2 linked regions of the Drosophila melanogaster genome follow. The protein of the gene in region 1 binds, or shares a complex with, the protein of each later gene. Each region holds a gene or a part of one and is shown on either strand. Other genes may lie near its edges.

Region 1 (6,588 bases):
TCAGTGCAATCAGGCGGAATATATCCCGCTTTGAGCTGGCTGCTTTTGGAATGATAGAAAGTGTTGCCTTCAAGGGAGCCTCAGTTCCTTTCTCTGCATCGTGAATTCTTTTTTCCAGCCCCCTGCTTTGCATACGCGCCACCCACTGGGCTCTTTGGTGGCCTTATTAAGTTGGCGCCTCTATGCAACTGCCATCAGCCGGGAAAGTTTTTCGCATACCTTCGATGGTCTCGGTCCTTTTTATACGCGGTATATTACCCAGTTAGCTGAATATTCTTGAGTTATATACGAAAATAATAAGAAGCAAACATGATTTATCTCAGATATTTCTGGATGTATTGTCTCAATGCGTTACTGCTGTATTTTTTTGCACTTCAACTACAATTATTTTGATATCACTTTCATACAAGCAAGTAAGACTCATTCTGATTTGTTTAGCCAATTGGGTCGATTGAGCAGGGTAACTTTTGATCGACTCCAGTTGAAAGCTCTTCTACATATTTTCACTCGCTCCAGTTTGTTGGGGTTGTCATCGTTGCAACTTCATTGTCAAAGTTGGCAAAGAGTCTTGAAGGGAAAGTTGGAGTGGGAAACTACAAAGAAATGCACAAAAACTGCGTTGTGCAAATACGGAGAACGAGAGTGGCGAAAAACGATGCAACGGTCTGCCAGTTGGGCGCTAATTATATGTAAATAGCTGGAATGAAACCGCCGCTCGAGGTGCCAGATAATTGGCCCTCATGCAACTGCCAAGTATAGTTTACAGCCGAAGTGATCAAGGGAAACAGTCTGCGAAGGAAAAATGCTCAAATTGTCGAGGCGTGAAGGACGACTCTTCTTTACGGTAAAGCTTTTGGCATGACCCCTTAGGAAGAATTAGAGAAATTTAAATGTGGCTACTTTGAGTGCCAAGGACTGTGCCCTAACTTGTTACTTAACGTGTCCTAGGCAATGACTGTTAGCTTAATTTACGGAAACTTAAATGGTACGCAATGCAATAGCAATTAGCTCAAATGCTAGATGAAATTCCTTTGCATTTAGGTCATTAGAGAAGAAAAATTTCATAACACTTCTCGGTGTGCGTGAGAAGGCATTTTCCCCCTTGGCCACTTCTTCTCCCCGGAGACAACATTCAGGACATAGAACAGCATTACAAAATTTCCCCAAAAAATTCGTAGAAATGCCAAAATAAACGAGTGGGATCGCTGGAATGAGATGGCGCAAGGTAAGGATGTGGAGGATGCTACCCACATGAGCGACAGTAACCAACACGTACAAAACGCATAAACATTCTTGCCTAAGTGAGTTTGTACATAAATTTCGAGCAACTTGCGTTGCAGGATGCGTTACAAGGAGACGATTTTGTGTGGGTCTCAGGATCTGTTTAAAGGGAATGAAGGGGGAGACTGTAGCAGTCTACTGTGAGTAGAGCTAAACTTACGCAAAAATCCATGGGAAACCAAGTGAGTTTTGAAGTTTAGACGGTTGGCTCAGTTTCGGTATCCTAATTTATTTATGCAGCCCCTGGCAAATGCAACTTTACTTAGGATGGATATCACTCAGCTATTCATCGTGTTAGCGTCAGTGCTTATTCGAAGGTATTCAGATGCAATTGTTTTATGTTCGAAAAATATCTTAACACTAAAAAATTTGTGCTACTAGCGTTTACTTTTCACCTTTGAATTTAGAAGAAAGCTAAGAATTTATGAAGATTTCCTACCAAATAACTAAATAGCATTTATTATTTTTATGACATCAAATTTTTAACTACCCAACTATTTAATACCAATTACCGACTACTGGTGTGTGCAACTTGAAAGCTGGAATTGAAATTATTCAACGAATCATGGCAATATCATTGGCTGTTTGCATTATGCAAGCATACCCGGTCCTTTGATGCTTGATGGCATTTCCCGAGCACCTACACACACGCAGCCGGAAAAGAAGCAACTTTAGTAGCATATTTCACGGCGCTGCGTCCGAAGAGAGAACGCTCTAAAGAGCACCGCTTGCCGAAGAGAGAAGCCTTGGGTAAGAGAGACCGAAGCGCACATTACTGACCTACATTAAGTAAAAATTTATTTATGCCGGCTGCCAAATTGGTTCCCCAAAGCATTGGCAGGCCCCGCTGTCCCCTGGTCCCTGGCTTTATGACTATGACGGATATGATTGTTGGTCGGAGTTTCCCTTTCCCCTCCTCGTACTTGCCCACTATTACTGCCTTTGTGGTTGTTGGCTTAAATAATAATGGCTTGTAATTTGCATAAATAATGTTTGATTTTTGCATTGATGAGGGAAGAGTGTGTTCCGCGTGTGTGTGTGTATTTGGGGAATTTTAAATGATTGAAAGCTCGGTCATCATTGGGGAATGCCGGGCTAGATGGCACGAAATTTTTGCATTTAAATCGATAAATTAGTGGAAAGAGCTCTAAAAATCAGTATGCCAGGATATGAGTCGTTTGGTCTATTTGGAAGTTGCATTGTAGATTTAAGCCCACCAAATAGGAAGAATAGTTTGCTGCTATAAGGGTCGACTTCGATGCCCCAACAATGGTTTCTTATCCTGCCACAGCACTGTTAACCAGCTAACAGAGCTCTGGCTCTGTTGCTCTCTAACGGGACCTGGTTCTCTTTGCCTTTGGAGTTCGGCTCGCTTCGGCAAGTTCGCGAGTGCTTGCCGAACTCCACGAACTCCGAGCCGAAGAGCGCTCGGTAGTCGACAGTCGTGACGAATGACGGCGATTATCGCCCTTCGAGGACTTTGTGTAATCAGTGCGTCCTGCTAAGCAAATTAGTTTAGTATGGTTTTAGTGCGCAACGCTGACGGTCGCACCAGTTCGCAGCTCTTAACACGTTGGTGTCGAAAGTCGACGCGCTCGCGTTTCGTCCCTCGCTTGAATTGAATGCCGCGAGTCGCGAGTGCCTGCGATATCATCGGAGGACAATAGCTCAGCACTGTACGTAAGCGGAAGGAATGGCCAGAATTAAATAAATAAATAAGTGCAAGACACAACCGGAGACGCTGGCTGCCAACTTCAATTTGGTACTTCATTTTTCACAGCCCGCTTAACGCAAATTGTGCCGGTCCTGGCTCCTTGCTGGGTACTAAGGTCCTGGTGCATACCCGTGCATTCTCCGCTCCCCTCCCCTGTTGATTGCATTCTTGGCGGCAAGTCGAGCGTGGCTCATTAAATGGCTGGCGAAAAAAAATGAAAGAGGAGTGCCGACTTGCGGAAAAACAATCACAGCATTTCTCTCGGCTGGTAGAGCCTGCAAACGGCATTTATAGAAGGGCCCTAGCGGCGCTGGGAAATTGTGGTATTTTATTCGTTATTTCACTTTGACTGTCACGCCAATTGAATTAATTCCACCGAGGAATTTAGGATTTAATTTGACATTTAATTATTGCAATTAAAAGTGGCCCGCAAAGCGCAGCATCAACAAAAAATGTCGTTTCAAAACAGGATTATGATCAAACAGAACGCAACGAAATTATGAAATTTTGTTTGAAAAAAAATGAATTACTTTCGAAAGTGGTTGACAACATAAAGCCGTGTCACATTACAGCAGCGGTTTGTTATAAAACGCGTAATAAATCTAAGAAAAAAGGAAAAAAGCTTTTATATTGATGAAAGGAAAACTTAAACAACAGGGTCAGAAAAACAATTATTGTATACAATAAAGGTTAACATTAATGGCAAAAGGATACATATATATATATATTTATATATATATATTTGGTTTTTATGCCTTAATAACTTGTTAGCTCTGCCCAATTCTATGATTTGAAACCCCTAGGATATTTTGTCTTTGTATTTTGTATATTAGTATCCTAAAATATCCTTCTCGTTATCAACATAAACAAAATAGCGATTTATTATTATTACAATTCCTTTGACTTCTAGCATTGCCATTGCTAGCTAAAAATATTCAAGCCTGAATGATGTGCTTAACAAATTAAGTTCCATGCAACATGATTTCTTAAGCAACGTTTATCCTTTATTATATGCATTCACTACTTTCGTATATACACATATAATTCAGAAAAGTTTGCGAAACGTCGAATACTTGGTATCAGCAAACTTTTTTGATAACTTTACTTCACTTGTAGCCCGAAAACAGTTTGAAGTGCAGGACGAAAATCACCCAAGGACGAGCTTTAACTAAATTATTGGGAGCTCGCGTCAAGTGTCAGACTTTGGGGGGGAAAATGGAATAACAGTTTGCCTTTGTTGTGTCTACAAATTTGTGGGGCGCTGTTCGTCAGCGCTAATGAATAGGTGGGGAGTTTTGTGCACAATTATCAAATAAAACGGGTAGCCGACCGCACAATTACACACAATATTTTCGCACACGCACCCAAAACGGAAGCCGTATAAACAACATGAATATGAAATTTAGCTGCTAGAAGCATATACATGCACATACATACTATAGATGCACAGCTCGTTGTGGATGGCCGTCCAATAAGCGACATAAAATATGCGAGCACTCACACACACTAGCGCACGCGAGCGAACACTAACACATGCATATGCACATGCGGATGAAGCGCCCGCAGCGAGTGCGGGAAATATTTTATGCACTTTATGCGGCCTGGACGGCGCTTGCTGCTGGGGATCGCTAATTAGGCAATATGCACTTGATTGTGTTATAATCATTAAAACCGGAAATGCATGGCCAACCCACAAAACACAAACGAGCGCAAACGCTTGGCCACACACACACGCGCACACATACGAATATGCGTGAATGCTTTCAGGTGGCTGCAATAGTTCACAGCATACTTTCGCACAGGGCCAAAAAGTGTTTTACCAAAGTTTCGAAATTTCATCACAAGAGTAAATGGGGTCGGTCTCACCATCCTGTCCGATTTTGTTAGTTTCCCATTTCACTCTGATTAATTATTTGGTGAAAAATAATTAAGTCTTTGAGGGGCTGGCAAGGCGTCGGAAAAGCAGCTCGTTCTCCCACAAAATGACGGAAAGTCACATCAATGGCTCGGCGGAAACGGAAGTGCGGGAAAGCAAACACGTGTCGGAAAAATGTCTGCTTGCAACAATGTGTGCTCGTACAAGTATATGTGTGCCAATGCACTTCCGCACACCCACACACCCGCACAGCAGGCGCCCATGTTGCATATGTAAAGCGGCTTGTAAGCTGGCCAATTTTTTATGCATTTATGCATTTTCCCCCGCTGCAGCTGCATCCCGTCCCCCGCTGACCGTTTTTTTTATTAAAGTTGCCCGTTAAGAAAAGCCCAGAAACCGCAGCAACAAACAGGAACGCCCACTGTGCGAACTGCATCGCACGTCCAAACGCCTTTTTGTAGGTTAATCAAATGCAAGACGGGGAAAATGCACAAGCTGCATGTCAGTGGGAAATGCTGCTTGTGGCTAGTTAGTGTGAGCGGGCGTTGGAGCAAGCATTTTGCCATCTTTTTGTGTACGCATTTCGCATGGCTTGTTATATTAAAAGAAATTTCCCAGCTGAGAAGAGACAAGGCAAGGAAAAACAAGCAAGCATCATGGCAACTGACAGCCAAGATGGACGGCTCTGTGATTTGATTTTTATTTCGAGCGATGCACAACAGCAGCTGGCAGTCAGTGGACAGATGAATTATGGCAAATGATGTAAACGCTCCCAGTGGATGTGGCTCTAATTAAACCGAGGGCCAAGAAGCACTCATAGCCCAAGTACTCATTTTCTCCTTTTACAATAGATAAATGACGTTTCGCAATTTCTCAAAAGTTTCGACTACCCTTGCTGGTTGCCTAAAACCAGAAAAAAATATTTCCTTTACTTGCATATTTATTGATTTTCAAGCCACAAGAATTTTTCGTAACGAATAGCTGTAAGTCTTCATAATAGGATGACCAAGAAATGTCGCGTCGAAAAGATAAATATTCCAATTCATCTGCAATCCGAGCAGATTTTGATTGGCACCAAACGCTATAAAAGTTTAAGCTTAATTTAATACATTTTCTGCATATTACCAGCGACAGTCACCAAGCTGCAAAAAAAAAGGAAAAGCACAAAATCCCCACCACCATTTCAGGTGACATAAACAAGCCTTTTATTTGGCATTCTGCTGCAGTTTTTGACACGCGAAAGTAGCAAAACGCTTTCAAAAAGAGAATGTCAAATAAAACACGGAAAGAATGCGGATAAGAGGAAAATTCACAAAGAAAAGAAATTGAGGAAAATATGGATGCAGACGGAACTGAGCGAAAAACTAGCTTTGGGTATATGTATATTAAGCACGAAAAGCTGTCACTCGCGATTGTCTCGACTATTGGATACCTACTTTTTTGTTAGCTTATTGGCGAATAACTTATTAATTCTTATGCGTTTCACAAGTAGCATAAGTACAATAGCAATACTAAACTGGATTTTCCTGTCTCAGTGCTGGCAAAGCTTAATATGATGGGTATGCTTAAATATGCATTGCAAAAATGTAAGCTGCTTTCATTATACCTTTTATACCCTTTGCACAATATACCCCACTCTTTACGATTGGCGGGCACAAAAATGCAGAGTCCAGAGGGAGATATCATTTATTATTTCATTTCCGAAGCAAGACAGCGC
Region 2 (6,575 bases), 5.3 Mb from region 1:
AGTATCTACACCAATTAAGCATAGCCTGCATATTGAATATAAATGTTTTTAATCTGGACAAAATGGTATTATAACTACGTATTTCCAATTTTTAATTATCCCCATCCTCACTCGCGGTTTTAGCTTACTCTTAAATCTTAGGTCATCGAGCTCAGTCGCAAAAAAAGCTCAGTTTAAAAGCTCAAAAAGTCTCGTCATTCTTTTTAGCAAACACAATTGCAATGATAAACACAATAAATAATTAAACATCTTTTGCGAACAGCTGAGGAAATCTAGAAATACTCTTCATAATCGAAACTCATTGAAATTAAGTTAGAAAATGGCTCAGGTTAAACCGAAAAGTAACAAACAGAGCGGCAAACCAGTGCCGGCCGCCAAAAAGGTAAAAAATTGAACTCAATCAAATGATTCCACAATATCAACTATCCCCAGCAATTAAGATTCTTAATAATTTTCTAATTTTGTACTATGTAGAGCGTCCAAGAGAAGAGCAGCGCGCAGCAGAAGAAGAACAAACAGAAGGCCGCGGCAGAAAAAAAGAAATGCGGATGCTGCAAGTGGACCTTGGGTAGCATCTTCATCATCGCCCTGATTGCCGGAGCTCTGTACTACGATACCGAGGTGAACGGCAAGGGCGTGTTCGAGAAATCGGCCACCGGCAAGGTGCTGAAAAATGCCGGAGTCCTGCCGCATGTCCAGAAGTCCTGGTACACGGTCATGGGGGCCGGAGCGCGGGGCTACAAGTGGGCGGAAGTGAATGTGCCGCCGTACGCCGAGCCGGTGATCAAGACCACCTGTGACCTGTGGAAGCTGGCGAGGAATGCGGCCTGCAACGCTTACCAGAACGGCAAGGGATACTTTGGCGCCAAATGGCCCGTTGTGGCAAAGTTCGTAAGTGTCTTTTAGTCGCCATGAAGATGAGGTCATGGGCAAACCAGTTTTGAATTAATAATACGTTCCATCTATATTTTAGATTGACCAATACGTGCCCAATTCGTCTGGCAAAATCGAAGCTTTTGCCGCTGGCGTTAGCGATTTAGCCGCCAGCAGCTATGAAAAGGCTGCAGCGCTCATCAAGGAAAAGGTGCTTGTGTAAGTATGCCTGCCTGCCTGGCCTTTGTTGTCTTTGAGAATGCATCCCTTATGATTGTGATCTTTGTTTAGTGGCCGTCTCTCGCCCGAGAACATCAATCAGGCGCTGAACCAGACGCGTAACGCCGCCCTGGAGTACTACAACCAGTTTCACAAAAAGGTCGACGCATACGCCAAGCTCAAATGATTTTAAGCGTCAGGAACGCTTACTTCTCGAACAGCAACATCATCAGCAGCTGCAGCAGATGCAAACAGAATACGCGTCATAGTAAATAGTGAAGGAAGCCCTAATTTTTCGCAAAAAGTTAAAAAACCGGAAAATGTTCTATAAGTCGAAACTCAAGAAGTCATTCACATTTATCAACAACTTCTCGTCAAGTTTAATTAAGAAAAAGCAATACGAGCAAATCTTTGTGGATGCCGATAGTACACTAACAATCTAGTAAATTCAACCTCGATACTGATAAATTAGTGAAAGACACGAGAAATTTTCTGTTGTAAAACATGTGTTTAAACATTTTTCTCCAAGTTGAGAAAACATTATTTTTAAATTCGTTTACAACGGCATGAGAGTTTTGTGAAAAGTTCTACCATTGAAATTTTGTAATTGTAATTATTAAAGTGCGTTTTTTGTGGCGATGCGCGAAGTGTTAACTCTATTGTGTTAACTGAACTTAACAATTCCAACTGCATTTTGAAGGCAAACAATAGATTCAAATATTTTTATACTTTTATTCATAGTTTTCTTGCATTTGTGTGTACATTTCTGTAGACTCCTCCCCAATACTTGCATAATAGCGCGATACTTTTGATTTGATTTTAAATCTCATTTGTATATTTAATGGAAAACACGATTTTGCATAAATAAAATAAAATTGAAAGATGTGAAGTAAAGGCGTATTTCTCAATGTTTTTCTGTGCTTGATTATGTTTTTGGGGGCATATTGATGAATCGTAAGATTCTGAACACACCTGTTGGCATTGGCAGCATGGCTTGCACTACACACTTGTTTAAATTGGAAAAGCGGCTTGAAAGCAGTTTTTATTTCCCAAAAGAGACTAGAATTTAGATCAGTAATATTTCCTGGGCAATTTTTCTAGAACAGTTCTCTCGAAACTAAGCAGTTCAAATGTTTTGCAAGCAGTCCAAGAACTAAAATTTCCCTAGGTTTTTGTTACCCATATAAGCAGTGAAGAGAAATTCCTAAGCAGTGTATCATAATTCAAAGCAGTGCAAACAACAAAAAATTGTTGCGTATTTGAAAAATAACACCTTTAAAGTTGAAGAAGTTTTAATTATATTTCTAAAATATTTATAAGCTTTGGTATCTTCATGAAATGGCATGATTGGATAGAATCTTTTCCTAATTGGTACAACAAAGTAGGGTTCTCATTATAGTTGCTTAAATTCTCCCCGCAAAATTTCCCTTTTAGACGTTCATCTTGGAGACAGTCGCCCCTTCAAATACAAGGATTTTCCCGAATTCGCCGCAAAGTCACCCGTTTTCGGAGTGCGGGAGTGACAATAACAACCAACTCGTCGTCCTGTTCGTGGCTGGCAGGACTCGGTTCACATCGGAACGATTACTTGCAGCGCGGAGGAAACAACAATACGGAAAAGCTCCGGCCTCGGATGCCGCAGTATCAAATGAATTTCAAGTCGCGGCGCACGTGTTTCGTCCTTTGGCGCGGATGTGACTACGAGTCCTTATCGCAGATTGTGGTCCTGGCCACGAAAGGATATCTCGTAGTTGCCGCATTCGATAGCGGTGTCGCGGTTTCCCAACTTTCCCAACTGCCGCATCTGTTTTTTCAACTTGTGCGCGAGACGACACTAAGATCGTTCGGCTTCGATTTCGCTCAGTGTATAATGCTCTTGAGGCAAAAGTGAAGTTTCGAATTGGAGGCCGCTTTATGCGGCCAGTGAAAGATATTGTCCCCTGAATTAATTGTCTGTTAAAAACTAACATTGGATGTTTAAATGGTTAAATTCATGGGAAATATTCGCCCTGCTGCTGCTGACACCAAAATTGAGTCGAATAACAGCTTTAAGTACATTAATATTAACCCACCCACACTGCTCTTTCGCATTCAATGTGGCTCGATTTTCCCTCCTCGAAAAGTGGAGCACAGATAAATCAGAGAAAAACATTTATTTCTCATCGGAAATGAACTCGGACGGGCGACGTGATTTAATGCCAATCGAAAATGCATTTGTTACTCAGGTTTCTTGCAAATTATACGCTTAGCGATAGGATTGAAACACAGAAAACAAAACACATTTTTTACAGACTTCAACTGAAACTCCAGACAGTTGCATAAACAACAACCAAGAGTTTCGTGCAAAAATAAATGTTAAATCAAAGTTTTTCCAAGTTGAGATGGAAGTTTTTCCAAGTTCTTCTTCGCCTTATCTGCTTTTGAAGTTCACTCGCATTTTTCCTCTGAAATCCAGGGCAGAATGAAAAATCGGAAATATGTACCTAATGAGCACGTGTGTTACGGATTGACTTTGAAGTGAGTCCTCATTTCTAATGAGTTCTTGTGGTGATATGAAGTAGGAAAGGTAATTAATTCACTAAACCACAAAAAAGTTAATGAGGTGATGCGGAAAGGTCAAAGTTGTTCCGTCAATAAATAAACTTTCCACAGACAGTCAATAATTGGTGTAGTTTTGGACTTTTAAAACTTTTGCAAACATGTACACATCCATTTGTTAGCACTGGCTTTGATTTAAAGCATTTTTTGCACATATTATACTATATAATAAAGTATAATTACATTTAATATTTAAGCAAAAAGGCAAAAGGCCGACCTTGTTTTAGTAAAAACTCGTTAAGTACGACAGTAAAAAAAATTTTAAGGAAAACTTCTTGGACAATTTGCCAGCTGCCTTTAAAAGGACTCGACAAAGGCCAAGGACCTCGCAGGACTCTTTGCATGTGGCATTAATTAAGTGCCGCTTGAGGGAATAGTATTAGATGAGCTTGTCTCTCATTAATCTTATAACCTTATAAAGAATGGCTTGAATAGGGAATAGCAGTATATACATATGTCCGGGGACAGCCCCCAAAAAAAGAAGACATTGAAATCGAACCGTTTTCCTCGCTCTTTTGGCCGCCTTTCGTGTTTTTCTAATTGAATTTTCTTTCGAGCTTTATGCCTTGACTTTTCTCCTTAAAGATCAAGTGGTCTCCAGGTGCTTTTGTGGCTTTTTGGCCGGGTGTCCAGGTGATTAATGTGCAACCAGGTTTGCTTAATTAACTTGCATTTATGCCTGAAGTACACAACGGAAGACAAAAGCCAGTTGCTAAATTTGATAAGTGGGCTTAGTTGAATTTGAGTGACTCTGCCATAGAAGTACAATATATATCATTAATTAACAGCAGACTGTACTTGTGGCACTTAAAATGGACTAGCCTAAAATTATAAATGCATCATTATCGCGATGAAAGTTTGGCATTAAATTATCCAAAAAGTAACAATACATATCCAAAACCACTAAATTCAATTAACCAACGATGCCATGAAAATAACAATTGCAGTGCGCATTTTAAGCTGATTCCATGTTAATTTTACCACCATTGTTTGATTGGCATCGCAACAAACAACAACTCATTACACAACTCCAGCAACGGTTGAAATCATTTAAGTGCTGTGGTAATGATAACTGAAGGGTGGGTCGAAGGGCATGGAATCGATATTTATTGAATACAATATCTCTTGGATCGTTCGTGGAGCACGATTGTAACGTGAAACAAAGCGCAGTTTGTGGAGAAATTAACATTTTAATTGGTTTTTGACCCTTGCACATTTCGTGAGTGATCAAGGCTACACCTTTCAGTTGCACAATTTATGTGTTTTATGGCCAAATAAAAAACTATTTGAGTGCGGCTTGCGGGTTGTAAATATACAAATTGCGTTGGTTAAAACTGCTCCTGTGACATGGTGGCGATAAGCAACTTGCCACTACAGACAATATATGAGGGCTTAACAAATACAAACGTAAACATTCCGAAAATGTAAAAATAAATTAATGCCGTTGCAATTTGATACAGGATAAATGATGTGAATGAAGGACATTTATAATGAAGGCCTACGGTTAATATCAATGTTTGCTTCAGTTAAATGCTGTACGAACATGGAATTCGATGGACGAAATTGGTTTTTCACATACCCCAACTATAAACTTGGCTATATATGGCTTGAATCCTTTAGAATTTGCAAAAAAATATAACTATTTAATTATATTCTTGTCACAAAAAAAAAAAAAACACTTTTATAATTTTTCAATGATTTATGTTAAGTTAGGCAGCAGTGCAATGAATGGCTGCAATAATTCAAATTAATTCATTTCAAGTGCTTTTCATGAATATTTCACAAATAATAGCGTTAATGAAAATGTTTCCTCCCTCTCTTTATAGAATGCACTTCAAAAACGATTTAGGAACCAAACCATTAGCAGTAATGTAAACCAAAATACGTAAACTTGTGGGGCTAAATTACACTCATCTAACCGCCATTGAGGTGAATAAATATAAATAAGTAAGATCCGGCTCGCAGGACCATGGCTATGGAGGGAAAATGCTTCGGTTGCATCGCAACGCCAATCCTCGTAATAATGATAAGCATTTCGAGAGCTTGGACAATGCAACAACAACACTTGAGTCCTGCCATCCAACAACATCCTGCAGTCAAATCGTTGTGTAAGTAGATCTCACTCGCAATTCACACATGTTCAATTTAATAGTGCACATATAAAAGCATATTTCAATACCATCTCTAAGATATGAATTATGAATGTATGTGCTATAAATTAACAATGACCAACGGCCGTAGTTAAGTTTATTAAAATTTTACATATCATATACGTATTTACTAATCACAATTGTAAGCCAAAATTGACTATCAAGGAGGAGGCACAAGTTAATTAGTTGACTTCATTTCGTATGAGGCAGACGGTAAATAGCATAATATATATCCAGAAAAGTCACTATTGAGAAATGACTTAGTTTCCTTGATAAATCAAATATGGTATCTTTCCTCTTCCTGACTTCATTCCCAGTGTATGAGCGCCTTTTTTTTTTGGCCTAATGCAGTAAATGCCTAAATCAATTATGGCCAGCAGGCGAAACAGAAAACTAGGGCGAAAAAATAGGCAAATAAACCAAATGAGCGAGCAAAGAATAAAATCTACTTAGCACATGTAGACTTTAATTAAATCATGGCCAAGAGCAGAGTGAGCACTCTGACAGGAGACACCGACGAGCCATCGCGACCTTCATCCTAATCTGCAGACACCCAGCCGGGGCACATCCTTCGCCTCCTTCTTGGGGTGAGGGGGGGGGGAGGTCTGGAGGCGGTTCTGAGCCCCAAACTCTGTTGTGTTTGTGGCTTTCGGGCGAAGGAGGCTAACGCACGATGGATTTTTATGTTTATGCTAGACATTACTTGGCCATGTTGCTTACTTTCGGTACCCAAAA

The links.
Region 2: the proteins of DIP-theta (region 1) and dpr2 are in contact, whole or in part, in a crystal structure (PDB 6EG1), measured with the Drosophila melanogaster proteins. Residues at the interface, in NP_723103.1 of Drosophila melanogaster: Lys160, Ile161, Ala162, Leu164, Val166, Thr168, Gln169, Thr170, Ile171, Ile174, Ile179, Thr180, Lys181, Asn182, Met211, Gln213, Ile214, Asn215, Thr216, Asp217, Met219; in NP_001014480.4 of Drosophila melanogaster: Asp135, Lys136, Ser139, Ile141, Lys143, Asp145, Leu146, His147, Ile148, Ala151, Leu154, Thr155, Tyr156, Ser158, Asp159, Glu189, Gln191, Asn193, Glu195, Lys197.

What each region holds. Positions count from the first base shown.
Region 1 is NT_033779.5:5,654,764-5,661,351, reverse strand, and holds the start of DIP-theta (Dpr-interacting protein theta), read left to right. Parts: upstream 1-2,791; 5' UTR 2,792-2,957; intron 2,958-6,588.
Region 2 is NT_033779.5:10,960,309-10,966,883, reverse strand, and holds the start of dpr2 (defective proboscis extension response 2), read left to right. Parts: upstream 1-2,730; 5' UTR 2,731-3,658; intron 3,659-5,516; 5' UTR 5,517-5,659; coding exon 5,660-5,798; intron 5,799-6,575. Other genes in the region: Tmem214 (transmembrane protein 214), read left to right, coding at 475-891, 974-1,092, 1,165-1,279.